2 linked regions of the Mus musculus genome follow. The protein of the gene in region 1 purifies or fractionates together with the protein of each later gene. This does not show direct contact. Links are inferred from orthologs where the notes say so. Each region holds a gene or a part of one and is shown on either strand. Other genes may lie near its edges.

The links. The genes of interacting proteins can lie anywhere in the genome.
Region 2: the proteins of Atp11a (region 1) and Tmem30a purify together in Homo sapiens (co-immunoprecipitation; 4 studies listed by BioGRID and IntAct, with this or other methods). This does not show direct contact. The link is inferred for Mus musculus from reciprocal best matches to the Homo sapiens genes ATP11A and TMEM30A.

Annotation. Positions count from the first base shown.
Region 1 is NC_000074.6:12,755,314-12,760,545, forward strand, and holds the start of Atp11a (probable phospholipid-transporting ATPase IH), read left to right. Parts: upstream 1-1,702; 5' UTR 1,703-2,000; coding exon 2,001-2,039; intron 2,040-5,232. UniProt on the Homo sapiens protein: Catalytic component of a P4-ATPase flippase complex which catalyzes the hydrolysis of ATP coupled to the transport of aminophospholipids, phosphatidylserines (PS) and phosphatidylethanolamines (PE), from the outer to the inner leaflet of the plasma membrane.
Region 2 is NC_000075.6:79,790,045-79,795,103, reverse strand, and holds the start of Tmem30a (cell cycle control protein 50A), read left to right. Parts: upstream 1-1,673; 5' UTR 1,674-1,893; coding exon 1,894-2,130; intron 2,131-5,059. UniProt on the Homo sapiens protein: Accessory component of a P4-ATPase flippase complex which catalyzes the hydrolysis of ATP coupled to the transport of aminophospholipids from the outer to the inner leaflet of various membranes and ensures the maintenance of asymmetric distribution of phospholipids.

The DNA.
Region 1 (5,232 bases):
TTGTTGGCATCCACAACATGTCTGGGGGATCCATCCCATATACAATAAACTCTCGATTTCTTAAAAGCAAGGAAACCTTCCTAAACAGCCTCCAGCATGTTCCTCTATGTGTTAATTAGCAAGTCAGCCACTTGCTAGAATGAATGGTGTCAGCTGGAGGGAGCCAGAGAGTCCTGAGCCCCACAAAGGGTGAAGGCTCAGAGGATGAAGTCACTCACTCCTGTTGCACCACCAGGGAAGTGCTTTGCTCTGTATGAAGAATAAGCTAGACACCAGGGCTCACTCCTGTGTTCCAACACTTCAGAGGCTGAGGCAGGATGTTTGTATAGAGTTTGAGACCAGCCTAGAATGAAGATTCGGTCTCAAAAATCCAAACAAGAAAAAAGAAAGGAAGGAAGGAAATGAAACATTCCTCCAAGTAGAACATTCTCTAAGGATAGATAGGAAGGCTTTATCCTGAGGCACATCTGTGCCAGGAATACCCACTGCAATTGTAATTGGCCAATAGCCTACAATTTGGCCCAGCAGTCATGGTAGGAAAGAGATAGAGCATCAGAGACACATGAACAGCCCAGTCAGGCCCACTGAGGCCAGCAGCTAGTCCCTAGACATAGAGGCCTGCTGTCCTCAAGAGTCCACACCACAGCTAGGAGTACCAATGAGCGCTGACTGCCAACTCCACCAGGCTCACAGCAAGTCCAGGAAGCCCGGAGAGAAAACCCTTTGCCCTGAGGCTGGCTGGGTGTCTGTAGCTGGTGCTCCGTGGTGAGCACTGGTGTAGAACTTAGGTAGAAAACAGGGTAGAAGGCGGTGGTGGCTCAGGAGATCAGTTTAGTCACTGGCACCATTGCCACCAGTGTCTAATCCAAACCATAGCAAAGTCAGATCTCCTCCACACCCTGTCAGAACGCTCTCAAATACATTCCTAATCCTCAGGTCTGGTGCTCCTGATCGGCCACTGCAGATCCCTCGTCTCTGGTTCTACCGTTATCAGAAGCAAAAGCAAGGGATGTGGAACCAGTAAACATTAGCTAGATTACGGCTGGGCTGGAGGTAAGGAAGGTTGTTCAGCCATGTGCCACTTCACACCTAGGCAGCAAAGAACCACCTTCCCTGGGTGCTAGCCATGGTGATACAGTTGTAAGGTAGAAGCAGGAAGCATTTGACAGGGGGCTGGACCACAAGGTAAAACCCAGGACTGTGGAGGGTCTTCCCTGAGGCCTGGTTTCTGGAAGGCAGGACAGAGACTGGGCCCCAGGAGTAGGTAGAGGTAGAGAGTAGTGAGTCATGAGAGCTGGATCAGGACGTGTTTGGTTTGGTCTCCAAGGGAGTCAGTCCCAAAAGGGGTGGTAATGTTCGCTCCCTGTAGCCACCTGAGGATCCTGTGTCTTCTGTCCACGCCACGGCAGGAGGTGTGACCCCCCCCCCCCCCCCGCAGGCCTAGGGACCCAGGCCCATGGCACTCGCCATGGAGTCCTGGGCTCACAGCCAGGCTTCCGTTTTAGAAGAGGAGTGAACGGGGCGGGGGTGGAGAAGGGGTGGATCAGCACCCGACGAGCCACGCGGGGGCGATGACAGCCCCCCCCGCCCCCCCTCCCCCAGTCCCGCAGGGAGGCGGAAGCAACAGGGCGGCGGCGACGCGCTAGGGAGTCGCGGCGCGCGCGGGGCCGGGGCGGGGGCTGCGGCGCGCGCATGCTCACACGCGCCCGTGACGCGCGGGGCGCAGCGGGGCAGAGCCGGCTCCAGAGGCGCGGCGGCCGCGGGAGGAGCAGGCGCGGAGCATCGAGCGCAGGCCGCGTCGGCCCGACGGGAGTAGCGCCGGGCGCAGGCCGCCTCCTCCGAGCCGCCTGCGCGCGGGCCGAGACCCTTGGCCGCCGCCGGCGGGGCATGAGCGCGGAGGGGCCGCGGCCGCCCCCCGCGCCGCCCAGGCCGTGACCGGGCGGGGGGCGGCTGCGCTAGCGCCCGCAGCCCAGGGGCTCGCGGAGCCGGGAGCGATAACCATGGACTGCAGTCTATTGAGGACGCTCGTGCGCAGATACGTGAGTGGCTCTCTGTGATGGGTCCGGGGTCCGGGGTCCGGGTCTGGGTCAGGGTTCAGGCCCGGAACGTCCCGCCGTCGGGTCCCCGCCGCGCTCCACCTGCGCTCGGCCAGGCCCACCCGGAAGGCAGTTGCAGCCGGGTCGATCCCGGGGTCGAGGGACATCCATCCTTATGGGGGTTGCGCTCAGCCCCAGCGGGGCGGGCCGACGCGGGGACCGGGACCGGCTGGGACATATGTACGGGGCTGCGGGGAAGCGGGGAGCCTCCACAGGGGAGTCAGAAGTGAAGTTTGCCATCTCTGAAAGTAGTCAGCCAGGTCCGAGTGCGTAGTTCCCGGCTCCCTTGGATGCTGCTGCGCGGTTAGTGACGGAGTGCCTCACCAGGGGAGACCAGGGAGGTAGGTGGCATCCATCAGCCGGGATGGAGCAAAGTGGGTGTGTGTACAGAAAAGAGAGAATCTGCCCCGGGACAGCTTGTCTTCCCTAAGCTGGACACAAGGACCTATTGTACGGCAGCTGGCGCGGGGTGGTCACAGGTTTGAGGAGCGCGTGCCTTGCCCAGTGCGGGCTGGGTACGGAGGGGACCAGAGCCGGCTCTCTCTAGCTTCTCTGAGTGACACTTGTCCTTGGATGTGGGTTTTTCTGAAGGGGAATTTACCCGGGTTTTTCTTCTTGCTTTTCTGGTTAATTTCCATCCAATTTTGGCCTTCCAGTAAGCAAAGAATGAGACTAGGAAACTGCAGCCCTCCCCACCCCACCCCACCCCACCCCACCCCCGTGGGAAGCGAAAGGAGGAGGGGTGGTCTTCTTGGTCCCTGTAGACAGTCACCTGCCAGCTTCCCAGGGCCACAGGACGAATTTTCCGTCCCTGGTGCTGTCTTTTACTTCCACAGTGCCCTTAGGCAAGCCTTCAGCTATTTTATATTTCCTTATCTAGGTAAAATTTCAAGTTAGTTTCTTTTTGCTGTGCTATTCTACTTTCGAAGTGGTATTTTCTCTCAAATCTAGGCTGCAGATATTCCTTAACGAACTTTGCCACTCTTAATTATTTGATAATGCATCTGGAATGTAAGTTATGGAATGTTATTCCTTCTGCTCATCTCATTTTTGACTGCTCTGCCACAGGCCTTAAACTCGAGTCTAAGCCATGAAATTAATTTGACTTTTCCCCGAAACAGTTATGGCTTGTTTTCTTATTATGTATTTATCTTCCAAGATGTGAGGTTAAATTATATTTTCTTTTATAAGAAGAGAAAAAGAGATTGGATATTCTTATCTCCTGGTTTATTCGACTCATTCTACAGAAATGAGCCTCTCCTCTGTAGCCTGCTGCCTTTCACACAGTCAGAATTCCTGAGAGCAATAAAAGCACCACAGCTCCCTCTAAGGCCATAGGTTGCTAAAGAAGGAGTCATCAGCCCTTGGACAAGAACACTGTCATAGGTATTTTGTCCTGGGTCAGTTCTCGGCAGCGAATACAGGCAGGTAAATGAAAGAGAGAACTCTGTCTTTGAGGCCAGTCCGCCCCATGCTACACGTTGGTCACATAGCTGTGTGAACAGCTCATGCGCTCTTGTAGTAGCCGATGTTCCAGATATAGTCTAAGTCATATCATGCATCTTAGGCATTTTAAGGAGCACATATAGAGCCAGTGACACTTCCTCTTAGATATGTAAAGTGAGGAGTGTGGCTCAAGTCAGCGACCCGACCCTCTCGGAGGACCAGCTGCGGAGCCTCCCGGCAGAGGCTAGAGGAGGCCTTTGCAGCCGTGGACCTGGTGGGCCTGGCTCCTAGGGTTGTCCTGCTGCAGTGTCCTTGTCACTGTGCCTTGCAGTTCTTGTGAAGATTGAGTGTCTTAGTCTAGAAAAGGGGTAAGGATGGGGCCTGGTTCCCCGGAGAGGCTCAACAAGTTTACCAGCACCTAATGCCAAGGTTCCCTAGGGGGTAGGGGTGGAGTTCTGGAACCCTTCAAAACTTTTACTTTTTTGAGAGAATCTCCCTAAGTGTGATTGGTTGGTCTGGATCTCACTATGTAGTCTAGGCTAGTCCTGATCTCACAGAGATCTGTGTGCCTCTGACTTCCCAGTGCTGGGATTAAATGCATTGGCTACCTGACCCAAAGCCCTGTTAAAAAGGGGTGGAAGTTAGTTGGTTCCCCACAGGGCTTTCCTGGGAGAGTAGGGGAATGAATTGGTGGTGGGTATGGTTTGTATACTTGGGAAAGATAAAATAGCGGAAAGCGAGGCACGGGGCACTGCTGCCAGCCAAGCAGGAGCAGTTGCAGAGCTTTCTTAGAGGCAGCTTCCCAGGCCAGGCTCCTCATGGAGGGAGGCCCTTTCCCTTTTGCCTCCTGGCTCATGCTGAAGGGATTTGATTTCCCCTCAAGTCCCTGTAGGTCAAGAGCTTCGTTTTGTCATGTCTGAGTGACGTGTTTCTGTGATGGGGCCTGGATTTCATTTATTAGGTTTTATGGCTTGTCAGAGCCTCTGCCTTCTAAAATTTGCTTTGCAGGCAGCACACATTGTCTAAGCCTGAGGCTTCCCCCACTTTACCTTCTTTCTTTCTTGGTGACAACTTGCGATTGAACCTAGGACTTCGTGCATGCTCAGCAAGTGGTCTACCTCTGAATTATATCCCTAGGTCCTTTGAGTTCCTGCTTTGAGACAGGCTCTTCCTAAGTTGCTCAGGCTGGCCTTGAACTCTATTTGTATCCAGGTGGGTCTTAAGTGTGTGGTCTTCCCGCTTCACCTTCAACAGTGGCTGAATAGCAGGCAGCACCTCCCTATTCAGCTCATTCAGACTTCTTTTTCATTCTGTTTTATGTGAATGGCTTCTTTGCCTACATGTAAACATGCTGTGTTTGCATATGTAAACATGCTGTGTTCATGCCTGATGCCTGCAGAGGTCAGAGAGGATCACCTGGGACTGGAGTTACAGGCCATGTGAGCTCACACGGGCGTGCTGGAAGAGCAGCCTGTTAACCACCAGGCCACCACTCCAGTCTTACATTTATTTGTATTAGAAAAAGACAGTCTTGACTTCTGAGGAGTTCAAGCATTTACTTTATACTTCTCCAAAAGTTTAAGAAAGTATAAGCATGCACGATTCTTCTTCTCCTCTTCCTCCTCTTCTTCCTCCTACTTCCTCCTCTTCTTCATCTTCTTCTCCTCCCTCCCTCTTCTCTTCCTCTTTT
Region 2 (5,059 bases), on another chromosome or scaffold:
TCCCCCACACCCTTCAAACTGTCTCCTGATTATATTATTTATACTGCTTAGTACAATGGAAATAACCACTTAAAAGATAATGATGAGAAATTGTCTCCGTGTTTACTAGCTCAGAAGCAATTTTTTCCCCTGAATATTTTCAATTGTATGTTGAAGGTTCAGTTGTAGCACTATTTAAACCGAGTTCTAGAGTAGAAATAAAGGAACTAACACATCTAACTGTGATAATCTAAACAGGAGTGGGGAAAAAGAAAGAAAAAGGACTCCATGATTATCCCCAACACTGTGATGAACATTTTACCCAACAGAACGTTTAAGACAACAGGCTAAGCCTCTCTATGACAGACTCTTTTCCATTTGAATGGGGTTGAAGGTAAACTTAGGCTGCTAAAGCAAGATACAAACCTAAGGATTCTAGAGGCCTTAAGAATTTGAGATCAGCTAGGCTGTGGTGGCCCAGGCCTTTAATTACAACACCCAGGAGGCAAGAGGATTTATACAAGTTTGAGGGGAGCCTGGTCTACACAGAGAAACCCTGTCTGGAAAACCCGGGGCCGGGAAATCCAAGATCACAGAAGAACATACTGGAGCAAGTCAAAACTGTAGACAAAGACTTTTTAAAAGTAGGTACTGTCAGATAGTCTGGATTTCAAACACAATTTCAAAATGTAGATGCTATATAATCATTTTTTTTGTAAATTTGCAAAATTACACACTTATAAAAGAAAATTTGTAAAATATAGAAAAGAAAAAATCCTGCCTACAGTCAATCAATGGAGGTTAGCATCTTACGCTTTATAGTTGAATTCTACACTTTGTATTCTCTGTACTGCTTTGGTGTCTTTGAGTTACTAATTATTGTTTATTTATTGAGACAGGTTCTCTATGGATTTCCTGCTGGCCTCTTAAGTAGCTCAGACTGGCCTTGTAATTTCAATTACTCTGCCTTTACCTTTCAAGGGCTGACATTACACATAGTCTCAACGAGAATTTCCTTGGCAGGTTAAAACTAATACCCCTTTTTAAACAAGTGGTATTATGTTCTGGTTTTTGATTACCAAGTTTAAAAAAAAAGAATCACTGTCATGTTTTACAATAACCTTCCCAAACCAATGTGAAGTAGACAGAAAAATAAATGAAAATCGATCAGAAGCGAGGGATTAGGGCTAAACTAGGTTGCATCATCATCATCATCATCATTATTATTATTATTATATCAAATGGGTCGCATGTTATACCTCACTTAAATTCATAGAGGCACACTGAGTGGCGAGTTAAAATTCAATAGGGATCTGCATCCTTTTAAACATGTGGACTCCAGGACGCTACAACTCCCTTCAGAAGAGGCGTAGGCGTCATAAGAAAAGTCAACCCGGCGCCGAAATTACAGGTAGCCCAGGTCACCGAGTCCGACCTGACGGCTCCAGAAGTCTCCATGATAACCACAACAGGAAGTGTGCGCCAACAGAAGCGTCCTCCCGGGGAAGCGAAGACGCTACCGTCCTAGTGCGCAGACGTCGCTCCGGGCCGCGCATGCGCTCACGTAGCCGCGCGCCCGGCCTAAAGCCCTCACTTTGTCGTCACAGGGCAGATGATCAGGGTGCGTCCGTCTTTTTCCTCCCCCTTCCATCCTCCTCCCCCTCCCCTCCCCTCGTCCCTCAATCATCTCCCCATTTCCTCTCTCTCCCTCCCTGGGGCGTCTCCTAAAGACGCCCGCTTCCGGTCAGCGGCCGGCCGCAGAAGCGTGTCCCGCCTCTTCCGCCTCCCCGGTGGCGGCGCGGGTGGCGGAGGCGGTAGCGGCAGCGGTGACTGCGCGTCTCCTGTCAGGGTCGGCGGCACGCAAGTCCCCTGGGCGGCCCAGCTGGACGTGGCCGAGCCGAAGCCCGGGGGCCGATGGCGATGAACTATAGCGCGAAGGATGAGGTGGACGGCGGGCCCGCGGGTCCTCCCGGGGGCGCCGCCAAGACCCGGAGGCCGGATAACACGGCCTTCAAACAGCAACGGCTACCCGCCTGGCAGCCCATCCTCACGGCCGGCACGGTGCTGCCCACCTTCTTCATCATCGGCCTCATCTTCATCCCCATCGGCATCGGCATCTTCGTCACCTCCAACAACATCCGTGAGATCGAGGTGAGGGAGGGGCGTGGCAGTGATCCCCCGGCTCCCAGAAGGTGACAGGCGGGCCCCGCCCTCTGGTGCCTTCTCGGTTTCTTCTGTGGCTTTTCTGAGTTTGCAGTTTTGTGGGCTCGCTTCCTTTGGCTCTCGGTTTACCTGGCTGGAAATGGAATGAATACAGCTAGAATGTCGGGTGGACGAGACTTTTTTTGGAGGCGCTTTGCGTGGGTTTCCGAGAGGTAGAGTGAATGTCTTTTAGGAGGAGATAAGAGGAAAAAGAGTTAGATTTACGTGTTTAACTCTGAGGCAACTCACAGGGGCAGACTGTTGTTATTTGGGCGGGGGTTATTCTGGGACACAGAGATTAACAAATTGGTTGGGTGTAGGACCCGGAGTCAATAAAGGTATTGATTCTTCTGTGAAGAAATTAAGTCATACAGAGCGCACACAAGTAACTTTGATTTTGAGCTAATTAGATATTTTTAGTTGTTGGCCACGATATAGTTAAAGGCATGAAACTTCAGTTCTGGTTTGTTTTTAGGCGGTATTCATTTCTAATTATGCCCCACAGTGGTCCTAATTCCTCCTGCTTGATTTTTAAAATATGCATATCAATGATTCCACACGAAATAAGTTGGAAACTAGCTATAAACGATTTCACTGGCATTACTTTTTTTTTTTTGGAATATCCTACTTAGATGTGATAGAAACACTCTACTGAGGGAAACATTTTGATTTGTGTTGGTGCAGTAATCACTGCATTTTTATCCGTCCGCATCAGTAAAGATGGGTTTATAGCAGGATGTGAGTACTGTGTGGCGGACAGTATTGGACGTCCACAAGTCCTCCATCAAATTAAGGGAGTTTTCATCTGTTTGAACTGGCAAGATCGATGTTGAGTAACCTTGCTTTCTTCTGTTGTAAAGATATATTTTTGTGTACTTAATTTAAAAATAAATACTACATTTAATTGGACGTCCCCAGTCATTTTAGCTAGGGACTTTGGTGACTTTGTTCAGTTTACTAAAGTAAGCTGGTTTATATATATATATATATATATATATATATATATACATACATACACACACACACACATATATATATATATTTTAACTGCACAGTGCTTCAGTATTAATGACAGTAAGAATAGTATCTAGAGTGTATTTTAAAAATCTTTTATTAAATTTTATTTTGACTAGAGCAAGCTCACAGCGTATGTTTTTGGTATATATTTTATCTTCGTGGTTTTAGCCTTGTGATATACTCAAAGGTAGCCCAAAATGCTCCAAAATGTAAATGAAGCTCTGGGCCAAACAGGTTGGGCAGGAGAAAAGTTTTGATTTTAGAATATTTTGGATTGTAGAGTTTGAGATTAGGTATGCTCAACTGGAGAAAACTATACAAACGTACAGAATGTTTTAAAAAAAAAAAAAAAAACTTCTCGGATGTAAAACACTTCTGTTCCCTGTCATACCTAAACCCTGAGCTCTGCAGCTTTAATTAGATTTCAGGGGGGGTAATTGACTTACTTTCTCTGAAGGTTAGTTTCTTCATCTCTAAAATAAATAGGATAATGAATTTCTTCTAAGATTTTACACTTAGATGCAAAATAGATGTGCGTTATGACCCATCAGCAGGAGATGAGAGCTAAGGACCAGCCTGAGGGATGGCTGGACTGTTGGGAGTGTTAATGTCCTGATTCCAAGGTGTAAACTCTCACACTACATCATGACCCTTACTGAGATGATAGGAAAGATAATGGGATACCTCCTAAGCATTAGACCTTTGCACCATCTCCTTTAAACTTGATATTAAGATGAAAGCAATGATGATTTAGATTGTGTATGAATATTTACTAAATTGTTAAAAAACTAGTACTGTTTACTACAGTTGGAAAATAATTTTCTTTAAAACTTTTGGGTTCTGAAAAGTAAAGTAAGGTTCTGTAAACTTAGTGATTAGTGAAATGGAAATTTCTTGTGCTTAGTGTGCCCCTGATTTTAAGAGTGTATTGTAGTGGCACAGAGGGACATTGGAGTTAAGAGCTGGCCTAGAGCGAAAGTTCCAGCTCTCACTAGGTGGTGATGGAACCCTTTTTTTTGTGAGCTGCTCTTAATACTACAAAGATTTAGAGTGGATGATCCTTAAGATGCCATTCACTTCTGAAAGTCTGTGACTCACAACTTAATTTTGATTTAAAATAATGCTATGTTCAAAAAGCCATAATTGAAATGAGAGAAAATGAAAATTAGGAGTTACTGGAAATTTTGTATTAACACCAACACATGCAGATAGAATGATTAAAATTTGAGTGTTGGATATGTAGCAAATGATTTCAAATTAGGTCTGGAGTTATTAGAAAAACCTAGAGAGCTTTTTCGACATACAAGTTTGTATGCTTGTTCTTTATTCTCTGTGTGTGCTGGAGATTGAACTCTGGGCCACGAGGAAGTGCTGTCCCACTAAGTCCTCTACCTTCTGTTAGCTGCTAGCTTAGGCTAAACGCCTTTGAGGATAATTAAAAGTGAACAGGAGGAACTGGAGAGCTGGTTCAGCACTTAAGAGCACTGGCTTCCTTTGCAAGAGTACCCAGGTTTGATTTCTAGTGCCTACATGGTGGCTCACAACTGTCTTTAACTACAGTTCTAAGTCATCCCATGTCCCCTTGCAGCCTCAGCAAGCATCAGATACCCATTTGGTCCACCCACATACATGAGAAGCAGAGGTTGGTGGATCTCTGGGCCTGGTCTACATAGTGAGTTCTAGAATAGGACTAAATGAATGATACTGTATCACAGAAAGGAAGGAAGGAAGGAAGGAAGGAAGGAAGGAAGGAAGGAAGGAAGGAAAAGAAAGAAGAAAGAAAGAGATAAAATAAAGGTAAACAGGATGTGAGCAGTTCTCCCCCACACTGATTCCTGCTGTCTGTTTTACATGGTTTAAG